Linked DNA regions of Oryctolagus cuniculus. The protein of the gene in region 2 interacts with the protein of the main gene of each other region in a pairwise test. Links are inferred from orthologs where the notes say so. Each region holds a gene or a part of one and is shown on either strand. Other genes may lie near its edges. The genes, in order: PSMF1, LDOC1, POLL, GNL3L and TASOR2.

Evidence for each region.
Region 1: the proteins of LDOC1 (region 2) and PSMF1 interact in binary tests that used the Homo sapiens proteins (3 or more experiments, as listed by UniProt). The two-hybrid records come from large-scale screens. The link is inferred for Oryctolagus cuniculus from reciprocal best matches to the Homo sapiens genes LDOC1 and PSMF1.
Region 3: the proteins of LDOC1 (region 2) and POLL interact in a two-hybrid assay, tested with the Homo sapiens proteins (2 studies listed by BioGRID and IntAct). The two-hybrid records come from large-scale screens. The link is inferred for Oryctolagus cuniculus from reciprocal best matches to the Homo sapiens genes LDOC1 and POLL.
Region 4: the proteins of LDOC1 (region 2) and GNL3L interact in binary tests that used the Homo sapiens proteins (3 or more experiments, as listed by UniProt). The two-hybrid records come from large-scale screens. The link is inferred for Oryctolagus cuniculus from reciprocal best matches to the Homo sapiens genes LDOC1 and GNL3L.
Region 5: the proteins of LDOC1 (region 2) and TASOR2 interact in binary tests that used the Homo sapiens proteins (3 or more experiments, as listed by UniProt). The two-hybrid records come from large-scale screens. The link is inferred for Oryctolagus cuniculus from reciprocal best matches to the Homo sapiens genes LDOC1 and TASOR2.

The regions. Positions count from the first base shown.
Region 1 is NC_091442.1:27,065,573-27,072,223, forward strand, and holds the start of PSMF1 (proteasome inhibitor PI31 subunit), read left to right. Parts: upstream 1-2,992; 5' UTR 2,993-3,171; intron 3,172-4,715; exon of another isoform or gene 4,716-4,780; intron 4,781-6,540; exon of another isoform or gene 6,541-6,651. UniProt on the Homo sapiens protein: Plays an important role in control of proteasome function. Inhibits the hydrolysis of protein and peptide substrates by the 20S proteasome. Also inhibits the activation of the proteasome by the proteasome regulatory proteins PA700 and PA28.
Region 2 is NC_091453.1:119,606,951-119,612,903, forward strand, and holds LDOC1 (protein LDOC1), read left to right. Parts: upstream 1-2,940; 5' UTR 2,941-3,304; coding exon 3,305-3,745; 3' UTR 3,746-4,548; downstream 4,549-5,953. UniProt on the Homo sapiens protein: May have an important role in the development and/or progression of some cancers.
Region 3 is NC_091446.1:28,331,921-28,338,811, reverse strand, and holds the start of POLL (DNA polymerase lambda), read right to left. Parts: upstream 4,224-6,891; 5' UTR 4,120-4,223; intron 3,857-4,119; exon of another isoform or gene 3,742-3,856; intron 3,737-3,741; exon of another isoform or gene 3,510-3,736; coding exon of another isoform or gene 3,404-3,509; coding exon 3,238-3,403; intron 2,257-3,237; coding exon 1,962-2,256; intron 1,785-1,961; coding exon 1,622-1,784; intron 675-1,621; coding exon 357-674; intron 1-356. Other genes in the region: protein DPCD, read left to right, coding at 4,224-4,324.
Region 4 is NC_091453.1:38,617,983-38,624,081, reverse strand, and holds part of GNL3L (guanine nucleotide-binding protein-like 3-like protein), read right to left. Parts: coding exon 5,976-6,099; intron 4,299-5,975; coding exon 4,171-4,298; intron 568-4,170; coding exon 348-567; intron 1-347.
Region 5 is NC_091444.1:79,650,246-79,656,344, reverse strand, and holds part of TASOR2 (protein TASOR 2), read right to left. Parts: intron 2,870-6,099; coding exon 1-2,869.

The DNA.
Region 1 (6,651 bases), on a different chromosome or scaffold from region 2:
GCCTTGTCTCTGCACAGGTCCTCTGGGTGTCCTCAAGACCCGAGCGGTTTCTACACCCAGACTAATTGTCTCCACCCTGAATGCTTTTCCTTATACCTATGCTTTCCTTTCCCAGGAAAATTGGATATCCACGCACAAAAGAATGAAATGGGACCTGTACTCACATCGTCCCCCCAAATTAACTCAACATGGATCAAAAACGTAAACATAAGACCTAAAAGGATAAAACTCAAAATCATAAAGCAACAGAGATTCACACTAGATTAGCAGTGATTTCTTAGATATGGCATCAAAGACACAGGCAGCAAATAAGAAAAGTAGACAAATTATTAAAATTAAAAATTTTTGTCCAAGAAAAGAAACAGTAAAAAGGTAACCTGCAGAAATGGAGAAAATATTTGCAAATAAAATACCTCATATGGGATTAACGCACACACACGCAATCCCTAAAACACAAACAATCCAATTCAGAAGTCAGCAAGAAGCTTGAATCGATATTTCTCCAAAGAAAACATAAAAATGGTCAATGAAAGATGCTGAGCATCACCATCAATAGGGAAATGCAAATCAAAATCACAATGAGAGAGCAGTTCACACCTGTTAGGATGGCAACTACCCAAAAACCAAATGTAAGCACTGGCCAAAAGTATAGAAACTGGAACCTCAGTGCGTCAATGGTGGGAATGTAAAATGGTACAGCCACCAGTGGAAACCAGTTTGATGGTTTCTAAAAAAACTAAAAATAGGGGCTGGTGCTGTAGCACAGTAGGTTAATCCTCTACCTTCAGCGCCACTATCCCATATGGGCACCGGTTCTAGTCCCAGCTGCTCCTCTTCCAATCCAGCTCTCTGCTACGGCCTGCGAAAGCAGTGGAGGATGGCCCAGGTCCTTGAGTCCCTGCACCCACATGGGAGACCCAGAGGAGGCTCCTGGCTCCTAGCTTTGGATTGGCATAGCTCTGGCCATTGTGGCCATTTGGGGAGTGAACCAGTGGATGAAGACCTTTCTCTCTGTCTCTCCCTCTCACTGTCTGTAACTCTACCTCTCAAATAAATAAATAAAATTTTTAAAAAAGTAAAAGTATGGGCCAGCACTGGGGCATAGCAGGTAAAGCTGCCACCTGCAGTGCTGGCATCCCATATAGGCACCATTTCGAGTCCCAGCTGCCCCACTTCTGATCCAGCTCTCTGCTGTGGCCTGGGAAAGCAGTAGAAGATGGCACAAGTTCTTGGATCCCTACACCAGCGTGGGAGACCTGTAAGAAGCTCCTGGCTCCTGGCATCTCATCAGCACAGCTCCAGTCATTGCGGCCATCTAGGGAGTGAACCAGCGGATGGAAGACCTCTCTCTCTCTCTCTCTCTCTCTCTGCCTCTGCCTCTACCTCTGTAACCCTACCTTTCAAATAAATAAATAAATCTTAAAAAAATAAAATAATAAAAATAGAATTACCATACAATCTGGCAATGCCTATTCTAGGTACATACCCCCAAAGAAATGAAAGTAGAGTCTTTTTTTTAAAAAAGATTTATTTATTTTACTTGAAAGTCAGAGTTACACAGAGAGAGAAGAAGAGGCAGAGAGAGAGAGAGAGAGAGAGAGATCTTCCATCCGCTGTTTCACTCCCCAATTGGCTGCAACAGCTGGAGCTGCACCGATCCGAAGCCAGGAGCCAAAAGCTTCTTCTGGGTCTCCCACGTGGGTGCAGGGGTCCAAGGACTTGGGCCATCTTCTACTGCTTTCCCAAGCCATAGCAGAGAGCTGGATAGGAAGAGGAGCAGCCAGGTCTCGAACCGGCGCCCATATGGGATGCCAGTACTGAAGGCAGCAGCTTTACCCGCTACACCACAGCACTGACCCCCAAAAGTAGAGTCTTGACATTTATTCATGTTCATAGCAGCATAACTCACACAAGCCAGCAGGTGGAGGCCGCCCAAGTAGCCATCATCGGATAAATAAAAAAAAAAAAGTGTTATACCCAAACAATGGAATGCTATTTAACCTTATAAGGGAGGAGAATTCCGACTCAGCTGCAACATGGATGAATCTGGAGACCATTATGCTGAGTGAAAGAAGACAATCACGAAAAGATGAATAGAATATGATTCCACTCATACGTGCTATCTGAAGTAGACAAACTCATAGGGACAGAAAGTAGAATGGTGGTTGCCCTAGAGTGCAGGGTGGAAAAATGGAGGGTCATTGTTTAATGGGCACCAAGTTTCAGTTTTTGCAAGATGAAAAGGGTTCTGGAGATAGACGGTGATGATGGTGGACAACAATATAAATGACATTTTAAGAGTTTTTACTGCGGCTGGTGTTGTGGCATAACAGGTTAAGCCACAGCCTGCAATGCTGGCATCACATATGGGTGCCAGTTTGAGTTCTGGCTGCTCCACTTCCAATCCAGCTCCCTGCTAATGTGCCTGGAAAAGCCCCTGCACCCCGTGTGGGAGACTTGGATAAAGCTCCTGGCTCCTGGCTCCTGGCTTCAGTCTAGCCCAGGCCTGGTGTTGTAGCCATTTAGGGAGTGAACCTGTGGATGGAAGCATTCTCTCTCTAACTCTGCCATTCAAATAAATAGATAACACTTTTCTTAAAGTTCATACTTAAATTAGTTAATAGGATAGATGTTTTGTTATTGCATTTTACCAAAATGTTAAAAATCTTTAAAAAAAAAAAAAACAGAGCTACCTTAAAATTCTCTTTCCAAAAATAAGTTGTCTTTTCCAGGTACCCAGTATGCAGAGGACAAGGGGAATGGGAAGTCCTGGGCACCAGTCTGCCATTTGGTCGAAGCAAAGAACACCATTAGTCACATAAGTCTTCCTGGAGTGGGTGACGTGTCTGGCTGACAGAAGGCCAAAGGAAAGGAAGAATCCCAATGTTGAGTGATAGATATCAGTGCCTGTCTGGGCCCTGCCCCCTCAAACTCATTTCTTCATGGTTTCTAGGGAGACAGGGAACTTAGAATGTCCACATTGCTGTCACTTGGTGACCAGCAACAGATGGCTGCAGCCACCTGCCAGGTTCTTTCCATCTTCCTGGGCCCTCGTCTCTGGCATGGGCTCTGTTCTGCCTAGGTAGTAGGGGCCCATCCAGGGAGGCACCTGCCACTTGCTTGTCAGCCACTCACAAGTCTCACAGGGCAGCCTTGGACTCGCTGGTGGAGGTAAGTCCACACAAGGTGTGGGATTGCAAATCTCCAGCCCAGGTTCCTACCCAGGGAGGGTCCTGGGGCCAAGGGAGACAGAACAAAACACAGGAGACAGAGCTCATCTCATTCTTTCAACATACAGAGCTAGCACCTACTTCCTAGCAGTTGCTGGGACACAAACTTTTTAAGGTATAGCTCACCCTTAGTTGGGAGAGAGAGTCCAGAGGAGCCACCATGGCAACGCCCTGTTCACTCCTCAGTAGGGATCTCTAGGCACCAAAGACTCCTTTCTTGCTTGCTCTCAATTCTGCAACTACCTGCCAAAGGGCTTTGTATGATCCCAGAAGCAGCTATCTACCTGTTCCAGACACAGGTGTCGGTGAAAAAACCCCAGCCGACTCCCTCAGCTGGGAGCTGGGAGATACATCCTGTGCTGCCTCCAGAGCTCCCAGCAGGAGTGAGCTCCAGTTGCCCACAGAGTGGCTGGGCTGGATCACACCCTCCCTTCCCTTCCCATCTCATGTGCCCTCTCCCCTACTGCTACTTCCTGGACTCTGCTCCCGAAGAAACCCGCACCAAGACAGAATTAGAGAGTGTAACAGGGAAGCAAAGTTCAACGAGATAACGGCTACAATCAGGATTACACAGAGTGGAACCAAGGGTGGCAGTGAGGGAACTGTCTGCCCAGGTGCTGGTGTCCAGGGGTTGTACATTGTCTGTTTTTTAAAAAAAGCCTTATAATTAGTAATAAAACTGACCAAATGTCAGTGTGCTTTTTATTGCCACCATGAACCAGAGAGTCTAATCAACTTCAATGATAAAATTCTCCTTTCCACTGAGACTAACGGCTCTCACTGTCCCAGGCCCATCCCTTGGCATCCCACTGATGCCAACTGCACAGAAGAAAGAAAAATTAATTGTAGGCCAAAGAGACAAGGGGAGGCCTCACTCGGAAAGCAGCAATGACCTTCTGATCACACAGAACCAGCTGCATAACACACTCCGTGCCTGAGTGCATGCTCTTCCCTCTTACCTTTTGGTCCATAATCCAGTCCCAATCTTCCATCCACGTTCTGTACAGTCAGCCACCTCCTCCTCTGGGAAGCCCTCCCCGACCCCCACTCTGTGTTAGGTGCTTGCTGTGTGCTTACAGAGGCTCCTGAGTACCCCGTTATTAGGGAAGTTTTCACAGTGAGTTATCTTTGTATTTTTTTACCACTAGACAGAGCAAGAGCCATAGGAACAAGAATCAGCTGGCTCGTAGCAGGCATTTGGGAATAGGGCTGCCATTGCACAGGCATCTTTGTGCCGTGCATAGCCTGCTCCATCATCCATGGAAGTCCAGTCTATGAAAGTGGGAATGAATCTGCAAGAATTTTCCTTAACTGGGGAAGGACATTACAAGCAGAAGGAACAGAGCAAGCAATATCAGTGAAGCTGAAAGCCCAAGGCTTCTCAGTGGAAAGGATAAATAGCTTTACAGCACAGGCAGTATGCCTCAGATAGTTCTGTCACTACCAGCTTTAGCTTTAGCATCAATCAGAGTGCAGTCAGCTTACCTGTCTGCATCTCACACCTGCTCAGCCAGAACCTCAGCAGATGGGGCTCAAAGAACCTGGAAACCCTAGGACCACAAAACAGGAGAGGCACAGGGTCAGCTGACAAAGTGAGCCCTGGACTGCAAAGGGGGAAACTAAGCCAAGAATTCCTTCATGCAGTATTCATGCTTTGTTCCTCTCAGTAGGTGTGCATTGAGTGTAGAAGCCACCCAGGGGCAGCTGTGCACAAGACAGACATGGTCCCTACCACCGCTCTGTCACAGTCATTTAGGAAGACATTTTTTCCCCAAAAAAAGCAATAAATATCTAAAGTAGTATCCGGTTATGATGAATGCTTTGCAATAAAGAAGTCAGGGTAAGGGTTAAAGAAGTTTTTCTGGATGAGGTGGTCAGGAAAGCCCCCTGCTGAGGCTGGGGGGTGGTGAGGGAAGGGGCTCCTTAGAATGAAGGAGCAAACCATGAAGATGTTTGGCGAAAGAGCATTCCCAGCAGAGAACGCAGTACAGTCAGCCCTCTGCACCTGCACCTATACTGCATCTGCAGATCCAATCAACTGCACATGGTAAAAGAAAAAGTGCATCTGTACTGAACACACAGACTTTTTTCTTGTCATTATCCCCTAAACAACACAATGCAATAGCCATATACATAGCATTTACACTGTATTATGTATTATAAGTCATCCAGAGGCAAATGAAGATGTGTGTGGATTCCATGTAAATACCACACTATTTTCTATAAGGGATTTGAGCACCCATGGATTTTGGTATCTCAAAGAGATCCCGGAACCAATCCCCCTAGGGACACAAAGGCCTGGGGACATGTGTTGAGGCTCCCATGTGGTGGGGGAGCCTGGTTAGGAGGCAGCTGTAATGGTCCAAGTGTGAGATGCTGGAGACTTAGAACAAGTGGAAGTGCAGGTGGTGGGAAGTGCAGATGCAGAATACATTTTGAGGGTTGGGCCACATTGGATCAACAGCAGAGGGGAGCCAAAAAGTATGGCTGCCCCCAGCACAGGGGATGTGGGTCCAGATGGAGAAGATGACGTCAGCAGAGCACTGAGCTGGGGCAGGGGCTGGCAGACCACGGGGGAAGATTTTGCTCTTCCCCAGGGTGGAAAGGGAATCCTGTGAGGTCCTGACCTGTGTCAAATGAGTCTCAGGTTGCAGACTGCAGAGGAGCCCACAGCAAGGCAGGGTGAAGGGGGGCAGTGCTGAGGTTGGGGCTATCCAAGGGAGAGCCCACCATGGCATGTACGTGAGGAAACTACATTGATTTGAGTAAAAGCACTGACCGGACTTCAAGAAATGATAGAAATCACGAAGGAGAGAGGCAAAGAAATGACTGAAATTCGGTAGTGGGTCAGGAGTTTTGGCTCTGAGGGCAGAGCCAAGGCTTCTGGGAGAAGCGGCTTCAACCCTTTGTCATCTGCCAAACGGGCTGATGGAAAAAATGGAACTCCCTCGCATAGTTGTTGAAGGAGCTATGCAAAGGTTTTGGTACAGGATGCAGCTCACAATAAACACTTATAAAGGTTATCCCAGGAGCCAGACTGTGGGTTTCCAGAACCATCCAGGCCACTCGCTGGACGGCTGCGTTGCTTCGGTCAAATGGTCCCTCTGTGCCTCGGCTTCCTCGTCTGTGAGATGATTATAACACTAATACCAACTACCTAGGATTGTTCAGTAAGTGAACACAAGTAAAGCGTCTAGGCACGGCACGGCACACGAGCTAACAGTTACTGCGACTATTCCTGGGCCATATTCTCTAGCTTCTTCTGCACTCGAGCACTCCCCCATTTGCGGATAGGGAGACTGTGACTCACAGGGAAGCGTTCCCTCCTCAGGGTCGCAACGCCATGGCTGTAGCAGACCCTGAGGGCTGTGGAGGGGCTCAGGAGACTCTGGCTTTGAAGCGCCGCTTCCTGCACGCGCGC
Region 2 (5,953 bases):
ACAGACACAAGAATAAAATAATAAGAGAGGTAAACTAACGACCTATTAAATTTAAAATGCAGGGAGTTGGCATTTGGCCTCATTGTTAAGATGCCAGTTAAGGGGCCCACATCCCATCTCAGAGTGCCTGGGTTCAAGTCCTGGTCCTTGTCTTCAAGCTGGCCCAGCCCTGGCTTTTGCTGGTATTTGGAGAGGGAACCAGTGAATAGGAGCTTGCTCTCTCTCTCTCTCTCTCTCTCTAATAAAGGAAAATGGTTTTAAAATGCAAATAATACCATCATTGCAAGACTAGTAAGCCACAATTTTCCAGTGAACAATAATGTGCAATCTATGCATAGCAGTTTGTAGTTTGCCAGATATTTTTATGTTATATAATTTGATCTTCTCTGCAGCCAAATGTTGTAGCTCTTATTACCATATGCAGTATTTATATGGAGACTGAGGCTCAGAAGAATTAAACAACTTGCTAAAGTCACACAGTAAGCAAGAGCTTGAGGACTTGAACTCAGAACTCCTTTTCATAAAAGTGTTGTTCTTTCTAGTATGCGTCCCATAACTGTGTTTTCCTATGTTTGCATAGGCCTATATATTTCCCGGAGAAAACATGATTGATTTTTAAATCTCTGTTTGTCTAACTGCGATGCTGCCAGTTCTCACTGTGAGTCACAGCCTTCACGCTACACGGAAGCTGTGTGTTCCTGCCTGCTTGGATACAGATGCACAAGGACACCAATGAGCACATGTGCACCCTTTAGAGTCCTCCCTGGACTTGTACCCACAAGATTTTAGAGTAAGTGACTGACAACAAACACAGAGAGGCCAATGGCACTGAAAGATTTGTATTACTTGTGTTTCTCCAGTGGAGGGAGCACAGCACACCATGCAGGGCCATGGGGAGGGAGTACAAGACTTTGGTCAGGGCACAGAAAGGTGTAGGGAAACCAAAAGCTACAGTCTTTCTTGGGGCATCTGTGGGAAAGGCAAGGCAGGGCTGGGTAAACAGTTTAGGGTCGATTTGTTTAAATAATTCTAGCAGTCTTGAGGGAGTAAGGGGCATCCTAGTTGTCTGATACCTGGACTTAGATTGATTTTTGAACAGGGGAACTATTGGGTTGGGACGTGAGAGTTTAGAAAGAGGAAGTGATTTTAGATACGCTCTGTGAATCTCGGGATGTGTAAACAACCATGGCCAGCCAAGGCCATCCCTACCAAGGCCATCCTGCACGCTGAGCTGAGTATAGGCATGATGGCTGGAAACACACTGTGATATTTCCCATCCATCCCTTTGTGTTATCCACCACACATTTTTGAACTATCTAGGAAACACTGTCAGATATCAAAGGTCAAAGTTTGAGTGAGAGCAGCTCCCTGTCTGCTTTCAAGGTTCTGCTTATCTAGTGGGGGATCTCATAGAACTAAGAGGGAGCTCTTAGGAGGATCTAAGGGTTCACGTTTCTATTTCCTCTTTTCCTTACTCTCCCGTTGAGCAGTGTATTCCTTCCTCCTCTCTCTACTTGGGCCTTGGCTCTGGTTCTCTCTCCCAGCCTCCCACTTCCATGAATGACCATTCAATTCTATTGTAAAGAGTGAATGAGATTACTTTAAAAAATAATTTTGTTATTTGTATTATGACTGATTTCATCATCAGAGCTGCACTACATAATTTGAAGAATCCTTTTGGACACTTTGTGCAGCCACCATTTCTAGTTTTCATCTCAACATTTGCATTTTGAGATGCTATCATTCACCAAACATTAATGGAGACCTTTCTCTGGGCCAGGCTGGCTTCTAGGCACTAGAGATAAAGCAGCTAGCAAACAAAGCCTCTCTCTGCACCAACTTACATTCTACAGTGGAGGCAGATGATGAACAAAGTGCTCTACAATGTGCTGGCCAGGATTATGATGATAAATGTTCTGTATTGAAACATATAAGGTAAGGGGTTAGAGACTGGGTGGCACAGAACAGGGCGCTCTGAGAACCGGAGTGCTCAGGAAAGTTCTGTAGGAATGTAAGGGGAGGAGCCAGGCCTCTAACTGGGAAGAGCTTTGCAATTCAGAGGGATAAAAAGTACAAAGGCCTTGAGGCTGGAATTAGCTGATATGTGTAAGAATCAGCAGGGGGTGGGGTGTGATTAGAGCAGAACTGGGAATGGGAGACCTAGGAGAGTAGGCAGGGCCTTCCTTATAGGGCATGGTCAAGACTTTGTTTTTTATTCTAAGTGACAGGGGAAACTATTGGAGGGTTTTGAGCCAGGGAGGGAAGGGATCTGACTTCTGCGCTAAAGGATTCCCACAGCTACTCTATAGAGAACAGAGTGTAGGAAGAGAAGAAAGCAAGCTAAAAGTGATTGCTTTTAGCGGTCTGGCAATGGTAGAAGTGACAAAGAGGGCTGCATTCGTTGTCAAAAACTATTTGAATATTCACATTCAAATAGAAAAAAACATTAAAGAGCACAAATGTCTTCATGGTTTCCTCATTGTTAAGAATAACAACCATTGCCACAGGCTCTGATATCAGGACGTGAAACAGAGCCACACAGGGAGGTCACCTTAAGCGCTTATCAGATGGTGACTTTGCAGAACTTGTTATAAGCCTCTATTCAGAATTTTTTCAACACTTAGTAATGGTTTCTAAATAAAAGTCCCTGTTCAAATACCGCTTTGCGACGAAAGCCCGGACCCCTTAAGAGTCTTTATGACTCTGAAAGGATCGGTGATTGCAGCAGGGCAGTCAGCAGCGTCAGTACTTCTCTAGGGGAGGTTTGAAAAGGCGATTAATCCTATCAACAAAACATCGCACCCAAGAAACTGGCGTTTGCAGACCCGCGAAACAGTGAATTGTGCGAGTCGGCTGTCTGCGACATGGCGCTCAGTGCCCGCCAGGCCCTAGGCTAACGCAGGCCTCACATCCGGGGCTCGGCCCCATTTCACAGCCTTTACCAGTTCTCCTAGCGAGCCAGCACTTGTCTGCTCTCCGCGACACTGCGCGACCCTGCGCTTCCCTCCCCGGCCACTCCCTCCCTGGTCTCAAGTCCCCTCCAACGGTTCGCGGCAGCCAGGCCACGCCCCCACTGCGTCCTGGCCTCTTCCCCGGCCCCGCCCGCACCTTGCTGCGCCGGCGCGCCGCCTGCCTGAGTGGCCTCGGGGGCGGAGCTTGCGCAGCCGCCGGGACCCCACGCTCGCCGTCCCCCGCCCCTGGCCACAGCACTTTATAGGACACGCACTTCCTGCAAGGCCTCTTGTGTGCATCTTGGCCCAGCGGAGCCTACTCGAGCGAGCCCAGACCTTTCAAGCTGTTCGAGATGGTGGACGAGCTTGTGTTACTGCTGCACGCACTGCTGGTGAGGCACCGCGCCCTGAGCATCGAGAACAGCCAGCTCATGGAACAGCTGCGGCTGCTGGTTTGCGAGAGGGCCAGCCTGCTGCGCCAGGTACGTCCGCCGAGCTGCCCGGTGCCCTTCCCTGAAACGTTTAACGGCGAGAGCTCCCGGCTCCCCGAGTTTATTGTGCAGACGGCGTCTTACATGCTCGTGAACGAGAACCGGTTCTGCAACGACGCCATGAAGGTGGCATTCCTAATCAGCCTCCTGACCGGGGAAGCCGAGGAGTGGGTGGTGCCCTACATCGAGATGGATAGCCCCATCCTAGGCGATTACCGGGCCTTCCTGGATGAGATGAAGCAGTGTTTCGGCTGGGATGATGACGAAGACGACGACGACGACTATGAAGAGGATGATTACTAGGCCCCGAGCCGCTGGGGGCCTATGAGGGGAGAGCCCTGCACGCAGCCACTTCTCCCTCTCCTCCACCCCCACCCCATCCCACCCGACCTCCGGAGCTGCTGCACTCCCCTTGCCTTCCTGTTCTCCCCTCCCCAACCCCCGAAGTGCTTGTCTTTGTTCCAGGAGTAGTGCTCCAGCTACCTGCTGCTGGGGCTGGGCAGGGGCCTCACCCTGAAGCCGGTCATCTGATTTGCCTAGCCCCAGGACCTCTCCCCACCTCATCTGAACTGTGTCATAAGCCCCAGTTATAGGCCAGGCCCCTGTTACAAACTGCTCAGATCACACTGCTGCTGCCACCTGCCTCGCTGCCAGGCCTACACCTGCACAGAGACTCATGCTACCACTGCGCCATCGCCCACTGCAAGCCTCTGACAGATCATCGCTTTTAGAGACAAGGACCAACACAGAAGACTTCTGACTTGGCTACACCTTTTCGGACATTGATTTGGACAGCTCATCGGCCCCTCAAGGGGCTGTTTTTCAACCTGGTTAGTTCCCTACCTACTCCTAGGGTCCTCTACCCAGCCTGAGTGCTGCGGGGACCTGGTGTGCCTGGCAACCAAATTGTTGATGTCTCTTTTCTCTAATGCACAACTGTCGTTTTTCTTTCATAATTGCAGCAGCCCCACCAATGTGTGTGGTTGAACATATGTTTCTAAAAACAAAACAAACAAAAAGCAAAAACGCACTAAGCTCAGCTCCTCAATACTACCTGGAAAAAAAAAGTTGGCATTATTTTCAATAAATATCAAGCACTACAAAAAGTGAGAAATGATTGTCTTTTAATGGTTAAGTGCTATCACTGGCATCTGCCATGCTCACACTGACTCCTGCTATTCCCATTGATGTCCAATTCAATCCCAGTGGTCCCTATTGTCATCTCTAGGCTACAGAGGACAGTTTCCACGGGGCTTTAAAAATATTCCAATGCTTCCCTTACCAAGGCATAGCTTAAAGCCCAAACGGAATGTCTTCTGGGGCCTCCAGGGTGGCATGGGTAAGGGGTGGCTGAGCATGTGGCTCATCATCCCAAACCAGGACACTTTTGAGAGTAAAAGGGGATGCTATTACTAATCATGGTGACACAGCAAGCGTATAAACCTGGACACATGCATGAAGGGGCTTCATGAAGTCCATGGGAAAATGGAACTAAAATAATGTACATTTTCAGTGAACTTTGTGAAGCCCCCAGTGTGAGCCCTGCTTGTCTTTTGGGTTCCTTAACACTGTCAGGGAAGCTCTGTCCCTTAACCCTTATTGCCTGTGAGCTGCTGTTGAGTTCAGGTTCTGATTTACAGACATCTCACATTGTTTTAAAACTACTTCCTGGTACTTGAGATAATCTTAAATCCTGTATCCTGGGTAAGTATACCAATAATCAGTATAGTTTGATCTTAACATTTCATCCGCCTTGGGCACATATTGTCAGGTTCCCACCCATACAAGTGGCCCAGATTCTTGTTATACAAATTAGCAAGGAGCTTGATTATCACATGAACCAGGTACTGTATTGCTGGCTAGGCTACGCTGAGAACTCTGTGAGCATGGGTGATCCCACGGGTTCACAGGGGTGTATGCTGAGAACAATGAGTAGTTCTGTGAAGCCATTACCCCAGGTTAAGTCACTGAAATGTTTAATGAACAGATGCTGTATTATGCGGTTTGTGAGGGCTACCTCTTGAAGCCATGAAGGTTAAGGAGGATTTGAGTGGTTCAGAGTTCTCATTCCCATTGATATCTTCCCAAAATGTCACTGTTATGCCAGCCCTGGAACCAGCCTGACCTCAGGACATCTAATTTATTTAGAATTTATATATATATATAAAATATATAATATGTATATAATATATATAAATATATAAAATATATATATAATCTAATATATATTTTTAGATTATATATATATGTACACACACGTGCACACACACACACATGGTCTTAAGGTCTTTTGAAGCAGGATATTCTTTTATGCATGCTGTTAAATCTCAGAGTATGCATTAAATGAGATACTGGTCATCATTTTAGCTTGCAGGTATAGCTTAAATATGATTATTCCCTTAAGGCCTGCCATTTGGTGAGTCTGGAAACCAAACTCTCAGAAAGCAGGTCTCTGTCTATAAGCTGGTTTTTGTAGGAAAATGTCGGGAAGAATAGGAGCACAGCAGGATC
Region 3 (6,891 bases), on a different chromosome or scaffold from region 2:
GGTAACAAATGCTCATAGAGTTTAAGAAACTGGCCTAAAGCCCCACTGATGGCAACTGGAATTCAAACCCTGGTCTGCTGGGCTCCAGAGTTGAAACTTCAAGACAAAAACCCTTTGATTCTGTCACAAGCTCAAACATAAAGAGAACAGTATAAGGAACCCCTCAGTACCCCTCACTCAGCCTCGACGACTAGCAAGATTTTGCCAAGCTGCTTTCCCAGACTTGTGTTTTGTGGCTTTTGTGTAAATCCCAGACTTCCTAAGATCGTACCCACCATAGCTGATCCCCAAGTGGACTGGCGTCCATGAGCCCCCAGCAGGGCAGGCCCCAGCCCTGCCCCTCAGCTCCCAGGTACCTGGTAGGAGGAAACAGGCTTGGGGAAGCTCTTGAGGGCATTGATGGCTTTGGCATAGCCCAGAGCCCTCCACTTGTCTCCCTGGACGCTGTAGGCTTTGGCCAACACTTCCAGCTTCTCCGTGATGTGGGAGTTGTGGTTGGTTGCCTTCTGGCTCGAGGGCTGTGCACAGACCCATTTCTCCAGGGCCTCCGGGGCTGGGCTGGGCTCCGTATCTCCCTCAGGGTGGGTGGGGTAGTGGCCGCTGAGCAGGGCTTCCAGATCGGCAGCGCTAACCTGGGGCTCTTCCCCATCGCTGGCTTCATCATCAGAGGTGGGCTTGAGGTAGGGAAGAACAGCAGATAAGTTCTGGCCCTCCAGGAGGGCGGCTCCTTGAAGGTAGAGGTTGGCTTTGTGTGTGTGGGGGGGGGGGTCCCCTTTGCCAGATCCAAAAATGAGGTTGGGTCTTTGCATCAGTCTTAGGGTCTCCCTAAGTCTGGGGTGTGTAACTCACGGCTTCCCTGAGTGGCGAGCCCCAGGATCTGCACGCATGCGTGGGAATGGCCTAGGTGAAGGCAGGGGTGATGAGTGTTGGGAAGAACAAAATGGCTTCATAACCAAGAGAGCATTCCTCTCTCGGGAGCCTGAGGCTTTCTTTTTTAAAAAATTATTTCATTTATTTAAAAGGCAGAGTTACAGAGAGAGAGAGACAGACTTGGGCTGTCTGCTGCTGGTTTCCCAAGCACATTAGCAGGGAATGGGGCGGGAAGTGGAGCAGCCAGGTCTTGAACCGGCACCCATATGGGATGCTGGCACTGCGGGCGGAGGATTTATCTGCTATGCCACAGTGCCGGCCCTGGACTTTCTTTGTTTAAAAACTGATTATTTTGGAAAGGCAACTGGGAAAGAAAGAGGAACAGAGGAAGAAAGAGGGAGAAAGGTGTCTTCCATCTGCTGATTCATTCCCTAAATGGCTGTAACAGTTAGGGCTGGGCCAGGCGAAAGCCAGGACCAGGAGCCTTGTTCTGGTCTTGCCCATGAGTTCCACTTCCACTCAGCAGGAACCCAAGCACTTGGGCCATCTTGTACCGCCTTCACAGGCACACTAGCAGGAAGCTGGATGGAAGGCACAACAGCTGGACTCAAACCAGCACTCTGATGTGGGATGGCCATCACAGGTGGTAGATTAACCTGCCGCACCACAACACCAGCCCCCACCAGCCCCTCCTCATTCTGAGATTTGGTTCCCAGGGGAAGGAAGCTGTGGGGGCTGGGTGGCTCCTGACCTGGGCTTGGGTGCTTGGTGCCTTTCCTGCCTTTGGGGGAAGAGCTCCGGGTCTGGTGGGAGGGGACGCAGGAGAGAGGGCTGTCCTAAGCAGAGCCTCGTGGGTGCCAGGAAGAGGAGATGAGTCTCCATCTGCCTTACTGGGCTGCGGTTGGTCCAAGTACCTGCAGGGATGGTGATGGGAGATTAAGACACCAAAGGTCTCACCTTTTCTCTGTTCCTGTTCGTTCTCCACTCTGAGCCCTTAGTTTCCAAACATGTCCAGTTAAGAAAATAACAGTTGTTTTTAGGCACTCAAGATGCTGCGAGATAGGGTTTGAGGACACCTGGGGCCAGCCCACCTGCTGGGGACGAAGACCTGGAATCCAGCCGTGTCCACCAGCCTTTGCTCCTGCAGGCACAAGCTCAGCCACGCCGACTTCACCAGCCGAGCACCTGCGGGCAGCCGGGGCAGTCTCAGGAGGCGCAGGGCCCGCTCACAGTCCACGTCCTCATCCACCACGATGTGAGTGACCCCTGGGGCCTGGGCAGGGCACACCTGGCCGCCATGCTGGACAACCTGCTTCTCAAAGAGTTCTGCCCGGGCTCGTCCGATGCCGGTGGGCACAACGTGGACCCGCAGGGAGTGGAGCCACTCTGTGGAGAGGACATCCAGATGCGAGGTCATAACTTTCAGACAGGGCCTGAATGAGCCATTTGGTCTCCGCCTCCCAGATCAGTCGCTCCCTCCAGAAGCCTGCCTCTTGGAGCCTGCTCTTGGAGCACACAGCAGGCTGCCTCCCGGGCATCGTGTAAATGGAAAGGCTGAGCCGGGCTGAAGCCAGGAGCCCAGAGCTCCATCCGTGTCTCCCACGTTGGGGACAGGGGCCCAAGTACTTGGGCTATCCTCTGCTGCTTTCCTACACACATTAGCAGGGAGCTGAACCAGAAGTGGAGCAGCCAGGACTCAAACTGGCTCCCATACGGGATGCCAGCAATGAAAGTGGTGGCTTAACCCACTGTACCACAACGCCAGCCCAAGAGCAGGGATTTTTATATGCCCTGTCCCTTGTGTAAGCTAGAACAGTGCCTGGCACACTGTGGGTAACCTATGAATATCTGCTGAATGAATTAAGAGAATGAATGCCTTCTCTCTCTCGCTTTATTTTATGATCTACTCTTTCAACAAAAGCACATACTACTTGCTGTTCCAGGCTTCTTGCCTTTACTGGCTGGCTGATCTAACACTGTCCTCGTCAGCCCCTTCTCAAAGACTCCAGCAGCTACTGGTCAATTTGGCAACAAAACGACCTACACCAAGCCTGGGAAAGTGAGTGGGATTTCTGCCCTGCCCCCCAGGGCTGTCACACAGAAAACAGAGGATTCTACTGGTCTTTTCCTGAGGGACGGGGGAGTATTTTCTGGTTTATGAAGGTCGTGGGGTAGGGAAGATGCTAAGGCAGCAAGCAGCCTGTCAAAGAAGGGGACAGAGCTTAGCACAAGGCAGGTGCAGACAGACTGGCGGCCCCTGGGCCAGAAGAGTCAGTTCTACTCTCCGGCTCCAGACATCAACGATGTAGGGCTGGATAGAAGAAGGCTGAGGGTTCAAGTACACGAGGGTTCCTAGAGTCAGCTCACCTCCTGCTGCTTCTCCTTCTTCCCTCTTGGGAATCTTTGCAAACGCTTTTAGTGATGAATTGGCATGAATTTTCTTCCGCTTGGGAAACGCCTTCAAGATGCCCCCGGGGTCCATGGAAGCTTGCTCCTGGCTTTTCTGTCCCAGGCTGGTCAGAGCAGCTGTCATGTGGAACCTCTTGGCCTATGGGGATGCGATCGCTACCTACCAAATCTTGGAGACAGCCACTTGCTTCCCAAGGGTCTCCCACGACCCAGTTACATTTTAGTGCCATGAGCCTGCTGTACACTCCCCAGCCTCTCAAAGTTGGAGCACGAAGGGCAATGAGGGAAAGAGTGTTCTTTTTAGGTGTGGGAGATACTGAAGCGTCAAAGGGGGATCTGCCTCCCGCATCCCACTTCCAAAGGGTTTTATCAAAACGTGCCGGGCTAGCAACGGAGCTATCTGTGTCTTTAGGAAGCTCTTGGCCTCCAGAGGAGTGCAGCAGGAGGGGATTCTGCGCCTACCCTACATCCTTCTCTAGCACCAACTCTTCAGAGGAAAAACCGGAAGGAGGGTGGGGCAGGGGCAGTGGGAAAGCCTTGCACCTGCCCTTGTCGTGGGCCACGGCTTGCGGGTGCTGAGCCCTGCGGCTGCGGGCAGATGAGGCACAACCGCAGCAGGTGTGGGCGCTCTCAGGGACTGGGGGAGTCTCAGCCTCACAGCTGGGGGTGAAGACCCGGGCAGGTGTGGGACTCCGCAGCAGCACAGCTGGCGAGGGCCAGGGACTCTCAGCTGCGGGCCAGAGGAGAGCTGGAATGTACGGACCAGGCCTTAGATTCCCACGCATCCCCCCCCCCCCCCCCCGACTCGGCCCCAAGCACGGGCAGGGGTAAACGACTTACCAGGGGCGCCAATGAGCGCGGACGGAGGTGGGAGGGGGTGGGAGGGAAATGCCCGACAACACCTTCCGGGTCACCCGGAAGTGCCCAGCAGCAGAACGGTTGCCATGACAGCGGCCGGGCGCGCTGCAGGATTCAGGGAAGATGGCGGTGACCGGTTGGTTAGAGTGTTTGCGGGCTGCGGAGAAGACGGCGCTGCTGCAGGACGGTAACTCAAGGGCCCCCGCGAGTTCCCTCGCCCTTTCCCTCAGGGTCCGGTGCCGCGTTCTGGGGCCCCCGGGAAGGGCCCGAGGTCCCGGGACGGCAGAGGTGGAAGGGTCGCGACCGTGGCCCAGGCCTGCATTTGTAGAGGAGGAAACTGAGGCCAGAGAGGTGACGTCACTGAAACAGGTGTCCCCGGACACCTCCTGGTATCGTTTGCTCCGTGTCGCTCCGCTGTGGTTTTTGTGAACGACTTTGCTCCTCCCCGGCATCCTGAGATGCTAATTTTCCACCCCGTTTTACAGAAGGGGAAAGCAGACATACACGGTTTTAGACCGGCCCAGCTCCTTCAGCCCGTCTGCTGGATGTTGACCGGGGACCCCCTGAACCTCAGTGCGGAGGTGCCGTCGGGGAGCGGGAGACTGGGCTGTAGGTCTCACTGCGCTGTTAATGCCCCGTGGGCTTCTTGGCGCGCTGACTTTCCTCATCTGTAAGGTGGGTGCACTACCGCTGTGACCGCTGGGATTGTTTTCAGCTGTGTTGATAGCTGCGCAATGAGACCCTCTAAATGCTTCCAAGGTCTTTAGAGCCAAGAGCAAGGTTCTGTGTCTGGAAGAGGTGGACACAGGGAATTGGGTCTTGACTACAGGGAATTGGGTCTTGACTTTTTCCCACCTTAGATTCCCCGATGAGGACCCCTGTGCTTTGGGGTCCTTTTCTGGACCCACATGGGAGCCAGGGTGAAGTAGGTCTGAATTCCTGAGTCTTGCAAGCTGATGGGTGGGGGCGGGCAGGGACTGTTCTACAGCCAATCAGGAAAGCCTGGAGTTTGTGGACGTTAGAATCAGCTGCTCATTTGCTTGCTCACTGATGCAACGTTTGGGAAGGTTTTGCTTTATGCCAAGCTTTGTGCTAAAGTAGATGGAAAGTAAAAGACATGGCCCAGGAGTTCACGGGATGGTCCTGAAAAAGACGTAAATATAAATGCTAGTGTTGGTTAAATAAAGGTGGGAATATTTTTAATTTTAAGACTTAGTTTATATATTTGAGAGGTGGAGTTACAGAGAGAGAGGTCTTCCAAATGCTGGTTCACTCCCTAAATGGCCCCAATGGCTGGAGCTGGGCTGATGGGAAGCCAGGAGCTTCTTCCGGGTCTCCCACATGGGTGCAGGGGCCCAAGGTCTTGGGCCATCTCCTGCTTTCCCAGGCCATAGCAGAGTGGAGCAGCCGGGACACTAATCGGCGCCCATGTGGGATGTGGTCGGTGCCGCAGAGGCTTAGCCTACTGTGCCGCAGCGCCGGCCCCGAAAGGGAGTCTTGTATCCAAGGCCGGGAGAGCCTGAAGTCGAAGTGATCATGTCTTTGGAGAGAGACCCAGCGGAAGAGGTGATGTTCCTGGGTCCCAAGGAATTAATGAGTGTTTGCTTGTAAGTGGAGAAGAGAGGGTGGAGCTGGTCATGGGAGGGCGAGGAGGGCTGAGAATCTAGGGCTGGTCACTGCATTTAGAGATGCTAATGCAGTCACCTGTCTGCACGGTGTCAGGCGCTGGGGCACAGGGTGGACAGAAGGGCCCCATTTCTCAAGGGGCCGAGAGGGAAAATGGTAGGATCTGATGGGATGGGTATCAACTGAGGTATATTGCAATAGCTCACTTAGGCTGTGCTAGAGATCTTAGACGTTATCTCACAGGCAGTGGTTTTTGGTTTTGTATTATTGTAAAAATGTGTTTAGAGCTGTGAGCATTGTCGCCATTTGAAGGTCTAAAGTTCAGTATCATTAAGCACGTCACATTGTGGTACAGCCATCACTACCTTTCACCTCCAGAATCTCTTCTTCCCCAGCCGGGACCCTGCAAGCTTTAAACAGAAACTACCTCCCGCCTGCCCGCAGCCGCCATTCCACTTTCTGCCTCAGTGACTTTGGCCTTTAGTGACCTCAGAAAAGTGGTGTTGACTAAAATAATCAGAATCTGGTTGAAATTGAAGTTTGAATTTATTCAACAAGTCAGACTAAGCATTTGAACCCAGAAAGAGCTGATCAGTTGCCCGAGTTGGCTGTTCCACAGCCCAAGTTTGGTTATAGGTTTTATACTTTTTTTTGTTTTTGCTTTTTACAGGCTGAGTACATTTATTGAATGAGGTTTAAATAAGATAAATTTATGTATGACTGTTAATCACATTGAACTTCTGGTAATAGTTAACAGACTTGATTATTGCTTAAGGAGGTACATTACATTTTCAGACCCATTCCCACACAACTGTATTCATAGTGTCAATCCCTCTTCCCACAACAGTGGCCCTAAAATGTAATGCTTACTCCTTCTTAAGGCACAGTAGATGTTTCCCTGGTCAAGGCTAAAGTTTGTTGAAAGGCCATGTTACCAGGAAACCAGCTGCAGGGCATCTCCATGGCACTGACTGCTTCCTGGCTGACCCAGGCCTCTGCAGTTACCATCCTACTGTGTGTGTGTGTGTGTGTGTGTGTTTAAGATTTATTTATTTATTTGAAAAGCAGAGTTGCAGAGAGAGAGCAAGCAATCTTCGATCCGCTAGTTCACTCCCCAAATGGCTGCAA
Region 4 (6,099 bases), about 81 Mb from region 2:
GTCTATTTGGCCTGCAGACTAGGCCAACAGTTCTCCGACTGTGCTCCCCAGAGGATCAGCAGCAGCTGGGAGCCTGCTAAGATTACAAACGCTCAGGCCCCACCTCCAACCTACTCGGTAAGAAACTGGGGGATGGTCCCAGAAATCTGTTTGAAGAAACCCTCTAGGCAATTCTGAAGCAGGGTAAAGCTTGAGAACTACTGTGCTAGTAGCTGAGCCTCCTAAACCATCTCTGCCCCCTAAGCTTTGCCTGGAGTCGGACACACAGAGATGCTCATTTCAAGAGCCCCTATTCAAAGCCCCAGGAAGGCCCATTCTGGAGCACAGCAATGGCCACGTGTCCCCACCTGAACGCTTCTGCATCTTCTTCTTATTCTTCAAGGCAGAGGCCAGAGCCTGGCCCTGCTGCAGGGGGTCGGTCTCCATGATCTTCTGCAGCATCGGGCGGCGGTCCACTGGGCAGGCATTCAACTCCTTGTTGTTCCTGGGGCAGTGTTCCACATTGCGTTTAGCCCACCCCATCTGATGACGGTTTGGTTTAGTGCAATACCCAGTGAGCTCTCCAATCTGCAGAGAGAGAAGATAACAGACCTCCAAAGACTTCTGCAGACCAGGCAGGGACAGGCCTGGGTACAAACAGAGAGCCTGGAGCCATGCAGAACTGAACTTCAACATTGGCTCCACCACATGTGAGCACGCTTGAGTTTGCTCTCAGCCTCTGTCAAATGGACTAGATAACAGGCAGCCTGTATAGCTTTTACAAGAATAAAATGAAAGAATTACTTCATCAATAATAACTGATATTGCAATGCCCCTTCAAAGTCCTACTCAATTTAACATGTTTCCTGATATCTATTTTGTGCCCAGCTCCATATGGGGCAACGCTGTGAACAGAGAAATGAATCACACTCAGTCCCAGCCCCATGGAACAATGAGGCTACAGAGGATAGAACAATGTATACCACAAGTCAGAGTACGGTAATAGTAACTGCCCACTAGAGACATGAAGGCCAAGTGACTGAGAGGCTGGGGGCAATGGCATGGTCAACATACAACTGACAGGGAGAGTCATTCCTGACTGAACAGTGGAAAAGTACACAGCATACCTGGGCACTAAAAAGGGGATCTATCTGGCAGCAGTGAAAGGTACAAGTGGGTAGTAGCAGCCATTATTGTCAGAAAGCTCACTGTGTACCAGGCACCACTGTGAGCACATGTGCACACACACACAACAAACACATATGTTTGGCCATGAGCCACAGGAAGACATTCTGGTCAACAATGGACTGCATGTACATGGTGATCCCATAAGATTTATCACCAAGCAATGCCATAAACTGTCTTAGTTTGTATAAGTCCCCTCCATAATGTTTACACATGAGAAAATTGCCTAATGATCCATTTTGCAGAACATATCTCCATTAAGTCATGTATTATCTCATTTATATATTTGTATTAACTCACCTTGTAACAATACTATGCAAATGGGGTACCTGAGGTCACACAGCTGGTAGGCAGTAGAGGAAATCAGAACCCAAGCAGCCTAGCTCCAGAACCCATATGTATGACCACTCACTATCTTATCACAGGGAAAAGCCAAGATGGGTGGATCTAATCAAGGATCACACTGTACCAGGGCCCGTATTGTGGTTGCAGCAGGTTAAGCCACCATCTGTGACACTGGCATCCCATATGGGTGCTGGTTCGAGTCCTGGGTGGGTGCTCCACTTCTGATCCAACTCCCTGCTAACACACCTGGGAAAGCAGTGGAAGATGGCCCAAGTGCTTGGGTCCCTGCCTCCTATGTGGGAGACTTGAATGGAGCTCCTAGGTTCAGCCTGGCCCAGCCCTGGCCTTTGTAGTCATTTGAGGAGAGAACCAGCAGATGGAAGACCTCTCTGTCTCTCTCTCCCTCTCTCTCTGTACCTCTGCCTTTCAAATAAATAAAAAAAATTTTTAAATCACGTTGTACTACCTGGGATAGGGATGGGGAAACCATTCATAATATAGTGTCCCTAAGTGGTGTCGCTCAGAGTTGTGCAATGGTGTGGCCCTGATGAGAGTACAGGTTCTTGAGGGAAAATGCTATGTTCTGGGGCTTATGGGTTTAGTGAGAGGTATTATTGGGGGAAAGTGAACTTAAAACACACAACTTCACGATGTTATTCCTTTAAGCAACAGGGCACCTCTGAGACTATGTGAGAATGGGACAGAGTGGCTCCTGCCACTGTCAGAGTTCAGACCCCATCTTCTCTTATAGACTCACTATAGACTATAATTTCTTCCCTGAACTCCCTGCTTTTGCCATGATCTCCACTACTGCCCTTTCTCCCTCTCCCCCATCCCTCTTTTCTTCACATCCTCTCTCCTGCTCTCTTCGAATTTATTTCAGAGGCAGACAGACAGAAACAGAGTTCCCATCCTTTTGTTCACTCCCCAAAATGCCTACAATTAATGGAGTTTCAGAGCAGGAAACTCAATCCACATCGCTCACATGAGTGGCAGGAACCCAAGTACTTGAGCCATCACCATTGCCTCCCAGGGTCTAAACTGGTACCAGAGCCAGGAATCAAATCCAGGCACTCTGATGTAGGACACAAGTACCTTAACTGCTGGGTAAATGCCCACTCCCTGGCCCCTTTCTTTCTAATCTGATTTTTTACTCCAGCCACCAGAATGACTGTTGTAATATACAAATCTGACCATGTCACTCCCTTGCTTAAGAAATCCTTCCAGGCATATAGCCATGAAAAAAAAAATAACAGCCCTTTGAATAATCATGTGGAACAGGCTCCAGGATGAATTTGTAAGTAAAATAAGCAAAGTACACAACAACGTGAATAGCATGGTATTGCTTGAATTAAAAGTTAGCTGCATCTGCTTGTATCTATATAGGAGGGTACTTAAGAAAACTTGGATCCAGGGGCAGATGCTGTGGCACAGCAGGTTAAGTCAGTGCTTACAATGCCTGCATCCCATATCAAAGTGCCAGTTCAAGTCCTGACTCTGCTTCTGATCCAGCTTCCTGCTAATGTGCACCTTTGGAGGCAGCAGAGAATGGCTCAAGTGCTTGGGGTTGTGCCACCCACCTGGGAGACCTAGATAGAGTTTTGGGGTCCTGGCCCCAGCTGTTGTGGGAGTGAAGCAGCAGGTGGAAGATCTCTGTCTCTCTGGGTTCCTCTGTCCTCCAAGTAAATCAAAATATGTTTAAACTACATATTTTTAAAGGTTTGTATCCAGGGGGCCAGCATTGTGGTGCAGCTGGTAAAGCCACTGACCAGGATGCTGGCATTCCATATGTGCACTAGTTTGCATCCCAGCTACTCCACTGCTGATCCAACTCCCTACTGATGGCCTGAGAAAAGCACCAAAAGATTGCCCAAGTGCTTGGATCCCTGTACCCATGTGGGAAACCTGGATGAAGCTCCTGGCACAACCCTGGCCATTACAGCCATCTGGGAAATAAACCAGCAGACGGAAGACATCTCTGTCTCTTCCTCTCTCTCTCTCTGTAACTCTTTCAAATAAATAAATCTTTTTTAAAAAAATTAGTATCCAGGGGGTCCGACGCTGTGGCGTAGCGGGTAAAGCCACCATCTGCAGTGCCGACATCCCATATGGGCACCAGTTTGAGTCTCGGCTGCTATACTTCTGATCCAGCTCTTTGCTATGGCCTGGGAAAGCAGTAGAAGATGGCCCAAGTCCTTGGGCCCCTGCACCCGCGTGGGAGATCTGGAAGAAGCTCCTGGCTCCTGGCTCCTGGCTCCAGATCGGCACAGTTCCAGCCATTGTGGCCAATTAGGGAGTGAACCAGAGGATGGAGAGACCTCTCTCTCTCTCTCTGCCTCTCCTTCTCTCTGTCTAACTCAAATAAATGAATAAATCTTTAAAAAAAAAGCCATTTGCAACTTGGACAACCAGGAGAGCAGACAATGATGCCTATTCTATGGGCTAGAATAGGCCTGGGAAAGCTGCTTGAGAGAGTGTGCCTCCCGCCTGGAACTGTCGTTGCTTGGCAAATGATGCACCGTGCCAAGTACCCAGGATCCCTCAGGGAGTGAGTGAACCACGCATGTCTCACGACCTCATGGAAGCCAGGCAGAAGGCAGGGACCATTTCTAAGAGCCCTAGACAGAGTGAAGGGCTGCCAGGAAGAAACAGAACAGGTACCTTGTACACGGTGGTTTTATTTTCAATGGCATCTGCTATTTTCACCATCGGAGAATGAAGCCACTTGATCTCCATTTCAAGTGGGTCTGTGTCACCCAACAGTTCATCTGATTCTCCTGTGGCCAAACCTTTAACATAAGCAACACCACTGTCAGGGCCCTGACCTGTCCCTGCTACCAGTCCCTCATCAACCCCCAGTGGAAAGGATATATGGGTGCTACCCAGGGCACTTGGTGGCTTTTTCATTCCTACTAGAGATTACATGACAAAGTATTAAAAGCATGGCATGGCTTCTGCAGTAAAACACCCGCCTACTGAGCTAGCCTTGGAGCCTGAGCATCCTCATCTGAAAAATGGGGATTCCATAAGGCTACTCACACAGCGCTGCTGTGTGACATGGCAGGGGGCATCTACGATGCTTGGGCCACACTGCTACTCGGTAAATGGTAGCCACTGGGACTCCCCCTCCTCCCATTGGCCCCTTGCCTAGGGCTGGCCTCTACTGTTAGGTGTGCCCACTGCCCTGTGCCCATGCTACGCTCAAGCCTGCTTCTACACCTTAGTCCACCCCTCCCCTGGCCCCTCTCATCCCTACTCACCCTTCAAGATCAGATCCAGCCCTAGGGCCAACTCCTCTGGGAAATCTTCACCACTCATCTCTCCCTCACCCTCTCTCAACTGCCAAGTCTCCATCTTCAGCACTCTCAGCAAAGGAGTCCCTCTTGACCTCACATCCAGCCAGGGACAAGCGTCATCATCAGAACATGAGCTCTACCCACTCTCAATCACTGGCTGACACAAGGATAACTCATTCAGAAAGGGGGACCAACTCGCCTGTCGCCACATGAGGAATGCACTAGGAAGCAGGCAAGTCCTCTTTCCCTCGTTTGGAATTCAAGGACACTGAAAGACCCAGTGGCCCTAGAGAGAAACTCAAAGCAGAAATCCAGAGCTTTCTCAACTAGGCCAGAGTGTCTACAGACAGGCCCAGAGAAAGGCCCACCCTTCTTTAGGGCAGACAAGGAAGTAGGAGCCACAAGGCAGAGCTGCAGAGGGTAGTGTCTGAATGGGACAAATTTCCCCAGGAGTTTCTGAAAGGCATGCCTCTGAACTCCAGCAAATAATCTTAGTAACAGCTAACATTTGCTGAGTATTTATTTACTATACACCAGGTACTGTTTTTTTAAGTGTCTTTTACATATTAAATAAATCCTCACTTCTACCTTTTGGGGAGGGTGCTATTGTCACCATTTTACAGATGATATCATTGAGAGAGAAGTGAAGGATCACACAGCTAATAAAAAACAAATCTTGGATTTCAATCCACCTAGCTACTCTTAAGTCTTCAAGAGCTGGTTTGAAGGCCACCTTAACCCGCCAGTGACAAAATGCCTTTCTATGACTTGGATATCTGACCTGCAAATGGAGATAAGAGGGAAAATCTAGGAACTGACCTGAAATGGCTAAGAAAAGGCCTAGGGAAACATCAGAGAAACAGTTTTTTAAAATGTCTACTCCAGGTCCCAAGGACAGGAATGGAGCCTTACATTTCTGGAACACCTCAACAGGTATAAGATATCTGCATATTTCTTTCTTATCTACCAAAAACACACAACCACCACAACCCCCATGATCCAGAGTAGAAGTCTCCACCTTAGATAAGAAATTAAGCATAGAGCTTGCTAAACAACTTGCCCTGAAGCCTGAGTGGGATCAGGGAAGGGAGAGGTCAAATGTGGGATTTGCTGTCAGGTCTATGTGGCTCCACTAGGGCAAAATCAAGTGTACCCACCCACCACACTTACATTCCATGGTATCTTCATTGGCCTGCTCCGTATCCTCAATGTCAAAGACCTCAGTCATCTCCTTAACAATCTCGGCACTGAGGTGGGCGGGCAGAGTATGGGTCGGTGGTGGTGGTGTGTAGAA
Region 5 (6,099 bases), on a different chromosome or scaffold from region 2:
TGGGTGGAATGCTGGTTTCCAGCTCTGGAACTTTGTTAAAGTAGCTCCAACCTTCATTATCATTATTGTTTACCTTCATAAAAGTGTCAAAACCACCTTTTGTAGCATCTTTTTTCCTGGTATGACTACCACTCAAAGTGTAAGAATCCTCCACATCTAATTCATCATGGTCTTCAGAAAGTGCCTCATAGTATATGTCAGAATTCACACTGCTCTGTCTGTCTCTGTCTAGGGTTTCAGAATCAGCCTCAGCCCTGCACCCCTCAGTAGTGCTGTTACTTTCCACATGCTCTTTAGAGATTTCACAAACAAGAGAGTCAAAGGATTTTGGAATAGAGAAAGCAGAAGGCTCTTTATTGATATCTTTACTGGTATCTGCTGTTTTTTGGTAAGGACCAGCATCTTTGGGGAAAAGTTCACCATTCAACAGCTCTTTTGTTTCCCATGATGTATTCTGCAGCATGCAGATTTTTTGTTCATTTTTTGTGGATGTGCTGTCAGACTGAGGGCTGGCAACATGTAGATCTGTGTTTTCTTCATGTAACTCAGCTTCAGTTTCACTATTAAGCAAACTGGCCATTCTGACTACAGATATTTCCTGTGTTCGAAACCCTGGCTCTACACTAACTGGTAATGCATAGTGAGTTAATGTAGTACCATCAGAGGGAGGACCAAGCTTTGGGATCTCTAGGTGCACAGCATCAGTTCCATCAATGGAGTCAGAGTTCAACAGATTGGCCTTACTTGAACTGCCATACTCTGTTTTCAAATCACTGTGAAAGAAATTTTTCTTAATGCTTTTAGGGCTAGTCTGCTGTTTTATTGGCATATTCATTATATCACTTAGAGTAGCTGTAGAAACTAATGTGTCAGCCAAAGACTTATTTTCATTAATCTTTCTAGGACTAAATGGAGGTTCACTGGACTCCAAGACAAGATGTTTTAAGTCCAAATGTCTGTTCTCTATGCTAATTGGTTGCAATGAATTTCCCGATTTTACCAGTTTTTCAAGGGAAGGCTTGACATTACCTTCATTTTGGCCAGTTGAGGCAGGCTGGTTTAACTTTGTATCATAGCACTGTACCTCCTCTGAGAAAGATAAACCCTCATCTTGCTCAGTTGGGACAATTTCCTCTGTTACTTTACCAGGAAGTGCTAGTCTATCTTTTCTTCCTGGATGATTGTTTAATGCTTGAGGAGTATCAGCAGACAGTTGAATTTGTTGTACCTGAGTGAAATTACCTTGTCTTTCAGTATAGTTAGGCCCAATTAAAGAATTTTCTTTTTCTGTTATGGCTAAATCTCCTGACACAATCTGGGAGAATTTGTTACTTTTCTCACACTGTGTACCATAAAGTATTAAACTACATGGTGACACAGTCTGAGTTGGTCGTGTTTCTTCAATTGATACTGGAGGGTCAGGACTAGAAGCTGGTGACACTTCCTCAATAAGAGAATCAAAGCGAAAGTCAGAGGTAATAACTTCCTCTGCAATTTCAAGGGTACAATTTTCTTTAGAAAGTATTAAAGTAACTGGTTGTAAATTATCACTTTTCTTCTCTTTATTTTCTAATAGTTTTTTTGACATTGCAGGATACACTGAATTCACTGGTCTGTTTTCCATGAGGGTCACCTCTTCTGGCTCAGCTATTTCTTCAACTACATCCTGAAGTTCTATATTTGATAATGGGACATCCTCAAGTTGCTCATTTTCATCAGATGGCATTTCTTTTCTGGGACTTGAAGGTGGAGATATTGTTAGAGTTAAGTCAATATCAGAATCCTCCTCTGATAACTCTACACTAACTTCTTCTCTATTTGGAGACAGGCTGGTTTGTTTAGTGGCAAATATTGAATTAAATGATTCAAAATGCATATTTTCATTGTTTATACCACTCTTGTCATTCTTTCTTAGTTCAAAAGAGTCATCTGATGTATTGATTTTTGATGGAATGCAGTTAAGTGAATACTTTTTCTCCAAGGTGATAGAGGCTGATGGTGAGACTACTTCAACCTGTGATGGCTCTACTATCTCTTCTGAACATATGCTAAAGAGATTCTGAGTCTGCATAAAAAGTTCTTGAGACTGTTTCATTTTATCATCAGCTAATGGATAACTAGAACCTTTACCTAACAACGTCTTCATTACCACTGCATTATCAGATGGTGATGAGATTGTAAGAGGTATCTCTTTCTGTAAGGAATATGTTTCTTCAGCAAGTGTTCCATTAGTTACTAAAGAGGCAGAAAGGTAATTAGCACCTTTCTGTCCTGACATTGCTAGAGGTGGAATGCCCCCAAGACTTTGTATTTGTGACTTCTCTACTGTGGATACAGGATGTCCAATACTTGTAGTAGGTGATACTTGCTTAATCAACTCTGTATTAAAGGTAACTGGTTTATCACCTCTATTTACAACTTCTGTCTGTACTGGTACATAGGCATTTTTGTCAAATGTAAGAGTAACCGGTTCCAGATTAATCATTACATACCCCGTATCATCTGTCCTCTCCAAGGAAGGCTGCCATTCATTGCTTATGGGGCTTCTACGATGGATATGGTCCTGTAAAGCACCTGTGTTTGTTTGCATTTGTGCATGAAAAATATCAACTTTGCTTTCAAGGGTGCTGCACACAGACTTTTGACACATCACTGACTGATTGCTGGTCTCACTGTAAGTTGTGGTGAATGGGACTTGTGTGACAGTATCATTGTAAGGAACCAATGTTGTGCTATCAAGTTGCTGAAAGGTTTTATCTTTACTAGGAACAGAAAGTCCATTAATTTGGGCATTTCCAATATCAGAAAGCATAAGTTTAGAAGTCTCCGATTTAGCTGATGATTCTTGTTTAGTTTTTTCCCCAATTACCTGAAATGATAAAAAAAATCAAATAAATGAGTTAAGACTATAAATACACCATCATTTCAAACTGTCCCATGAGGCAACACTATAAATTAACTACAACTGAGAATACAATAATTCAGATAAATTAAGGTCCCTTCTCCCATAGCTATCCTTTTTACTTAAAACTGGACAGAATTCTTTCTTGTTTTAATACTTCTTATTCCACAGATCAACAGAAAACTTATCAATGTGGTTTGCATTCCTAAAATAAAGGGACTGGATTAAACAATAACAAGATAGGTTAAATATTGGCAGAACTACCGGAGGACAATTCTAATAACCTTATGGACAGGCTGTTTTGTTTTGTTGAAAGTCTCAAGTATTGTCTTTTCCAGAATATGGTAAAATGGGGAGATTACACAGATTATGCCTCTAATGTTTGGAATTTTATGCTTACAGATTACCTACTGTATCTTGAAGCATGCTGGCAAGTCAGGATCTGGGTTTCAAATCTCTATCTTTTTTTAAAAAAAGTTTACTTTTATTTATTTGAAAGGCACAGTGACAGAGCAAGAGCGATCATCCATCTACTGGTTCATTCCCAAATGTCTACAACAGCTAGGGCTGGGCAGGGTAGGAGCCAGGAACTCCATCTGGGTCTCCCATATGGGTGGTAAGGACCCAAGCACTTGAACCATCATTCATTGCCTCCCAGGGTGCACATTAGCCTCAAATCTCTCTAAAACCCTTTCTGTCTTAACCAAAGAAACATTAACTTAATTAGGCAGCAGGGTGGGCCTGAGATGAGGTTTTATGTAGACAAAACATTAGAAAAGTCTTGATGGCAGGAATTTTTCTGAGAATATTCCTGTGCTATTCCCCCAACCCAGCTATGGCTGATAATATTTGGCCACCTCATGGTCTTAGTGAAATGCCAACATGACAATCGTGATATATTTATATTTAAAAATTATTTTTAAATGTATTTACTTATTTATGGGGGGGGGGGGGCAGAGAGAGCAAGTGAGCTCCTATGCACTGGTTCATTTCTCAAATGCCTACAACGGCCAGACCTAGGTCAAGCTGAAACCAGGAGCTGGAAACTCAAACCATGTGGGTAGGGTAGAAGGAACTCAACTACTTGAGCCATTACCTGCTGCCTCCCAGGATGTATATTAAGTTTGAACTGGGAGTGGAGGCAGTACTCAAGCTCAGGATCTTTGATATGTATGTGGGCTTTCCAAGTGGCAGCTTACCAACAGGTCAAATGCCTGCCTGGATCTATTTTTTACTTCAGATACAGTGTGATATTTCTAAAATAAAGTCTAATATTATAAAGAACTCAATTCAGCATATGAGTACAACAAAATGCCACTGATTTCTGGTACCTGTCTGGAACCCCCTTCATATCCCAAGGTGATCACTTGTTGAGGAAGTGAATGGCATATACAACAAATCTGTGCATCTTTTCAACTGCAGGCACTATAACTAAAAGATGATGGAAAAACTTTCAACTATAGAGTGAGCATTACTAATCTGAATCCAAACTGAAATACTTTGGGTACTGAATTCAAATTTTTGAATTGTACAGCATTTTAGATTTTACATTAGGGATGCTTAACTGGTGAAGTCTACACAAATATCCAAAATCTGCAACACTTGTCCTAAGCACTTTGGGTCAGACTTGACCTGTATAAATGCTAGAAAGATTGTTAGTAATCACTAATTTTAATATTCCATTTTATAGTTCTTTATGCTGTATTTTCATGTTTGCCAAAAATCATTCCTAAGAATAGTATGATGATAGGTAGTTACATTACCATTAAATATTACAAGAAGCAAAAGGTACTGTTTTTAAAATTTATTTATTTGAAAGGCAGAGTTACAGAGAAACAGCGGCAGGGAGAAAGAGAGAGGTCTTCCACCTGCTGGTTCACTCTCCAGATGGTCGCAATGGCCACAGTTGTGCCAATCCGAAGCTAGGAGCCAAGAGCTTCCTTGAGGTCTTCCATATGGGTGCAAGGGCACAAGGACTTGCGCCATTTTCCACTGCTTTCTCAAGGCCACAGCAGAGGGCTGAATTGTAAGTACAGCAACTGGGACTCGAACCAGCAGCCATATGGGATGCCGACACCGCAGATGGTGGCTTTACCTGCTAAGCCACAGCACCAGCCCCCAAAAGGTACTTTAAGAAACTATTACGTGTATGGGGCAATGCCATCTGCAAAAAACAGCTGCCATCTGTAACACTAGTATCCTATACAGGCATTGATTAGTGTCCCAGCTGTTCCACTTCCAATCCAGCTCCCTGCCAATGGCCTGGGAAAAGCAGCAGAAAATGGCTCAAATGTTTGACCCCTGCCATCCATTGGGAGACCCAGATAAAGCTTCTGGCTTCAGGCTGGTCCAACCGTGGCAGTAGCAGCCATCTGAGGAGTAAACTGGTGGATGGAAGCTCACTCTAACTCTTTCAAATAAATAAATAAATCATATAATATATATATATATATAAGAAGTATTTATTTGGATAGTAATCAAAATTTGCCTGACTAAATTACATTTTCTTATGCTAAGGTGGTAATTCTTAATTGTTTTTTATGTACCTTTTAAACAATCAGATGAACTTTCTGAACTCCATCTTCGGGGGGAAAAAGCACATATATGACTACAATATACATAAACACAAAAATATGCATCTTTACAGAGGTACTTCAAAAATGAGAAAAGTTTATTTTGGTGCAAAAACAATTAAAATTCATGTATAGTTCTTTCAAAAAATGCTCTCTCCATGAATTTTTGAAGACTCCTTATATATGTACCCACATACACTGAATCTGACATTGACAAACATCTAAGCTGCCTAGATTTGAGTCTTGAGAATTTACTGCATGATTTTCAACAATTTCCTTGCTTCTCTATGCCACAGTTTGCTTATCTACAGAATGTGGAGAATAACAGTCCTTACCTCATTGGTTTGAGAATTGAGTTACTGTTATTAAAGGGCTTAGGACACCATCTGGCATGTATGCTCCCGAAATCTTAACTTTGATAATGATCCTGCTCATTTTGCAAGCCCTCTAAGGCTCATAAATGGAATGAGTAACCCCAGGTTTAGAATTATTGCTTACCCAATGTTAAGACAGGCATCATAGGTGCTATCTAAATCCATGCTAATTTATTCTAGAATAAATCCATACTGAAAGCATAAAATGATAGGCATTTTGTCAATTCATTTACTTAGAATTTTGTTACAA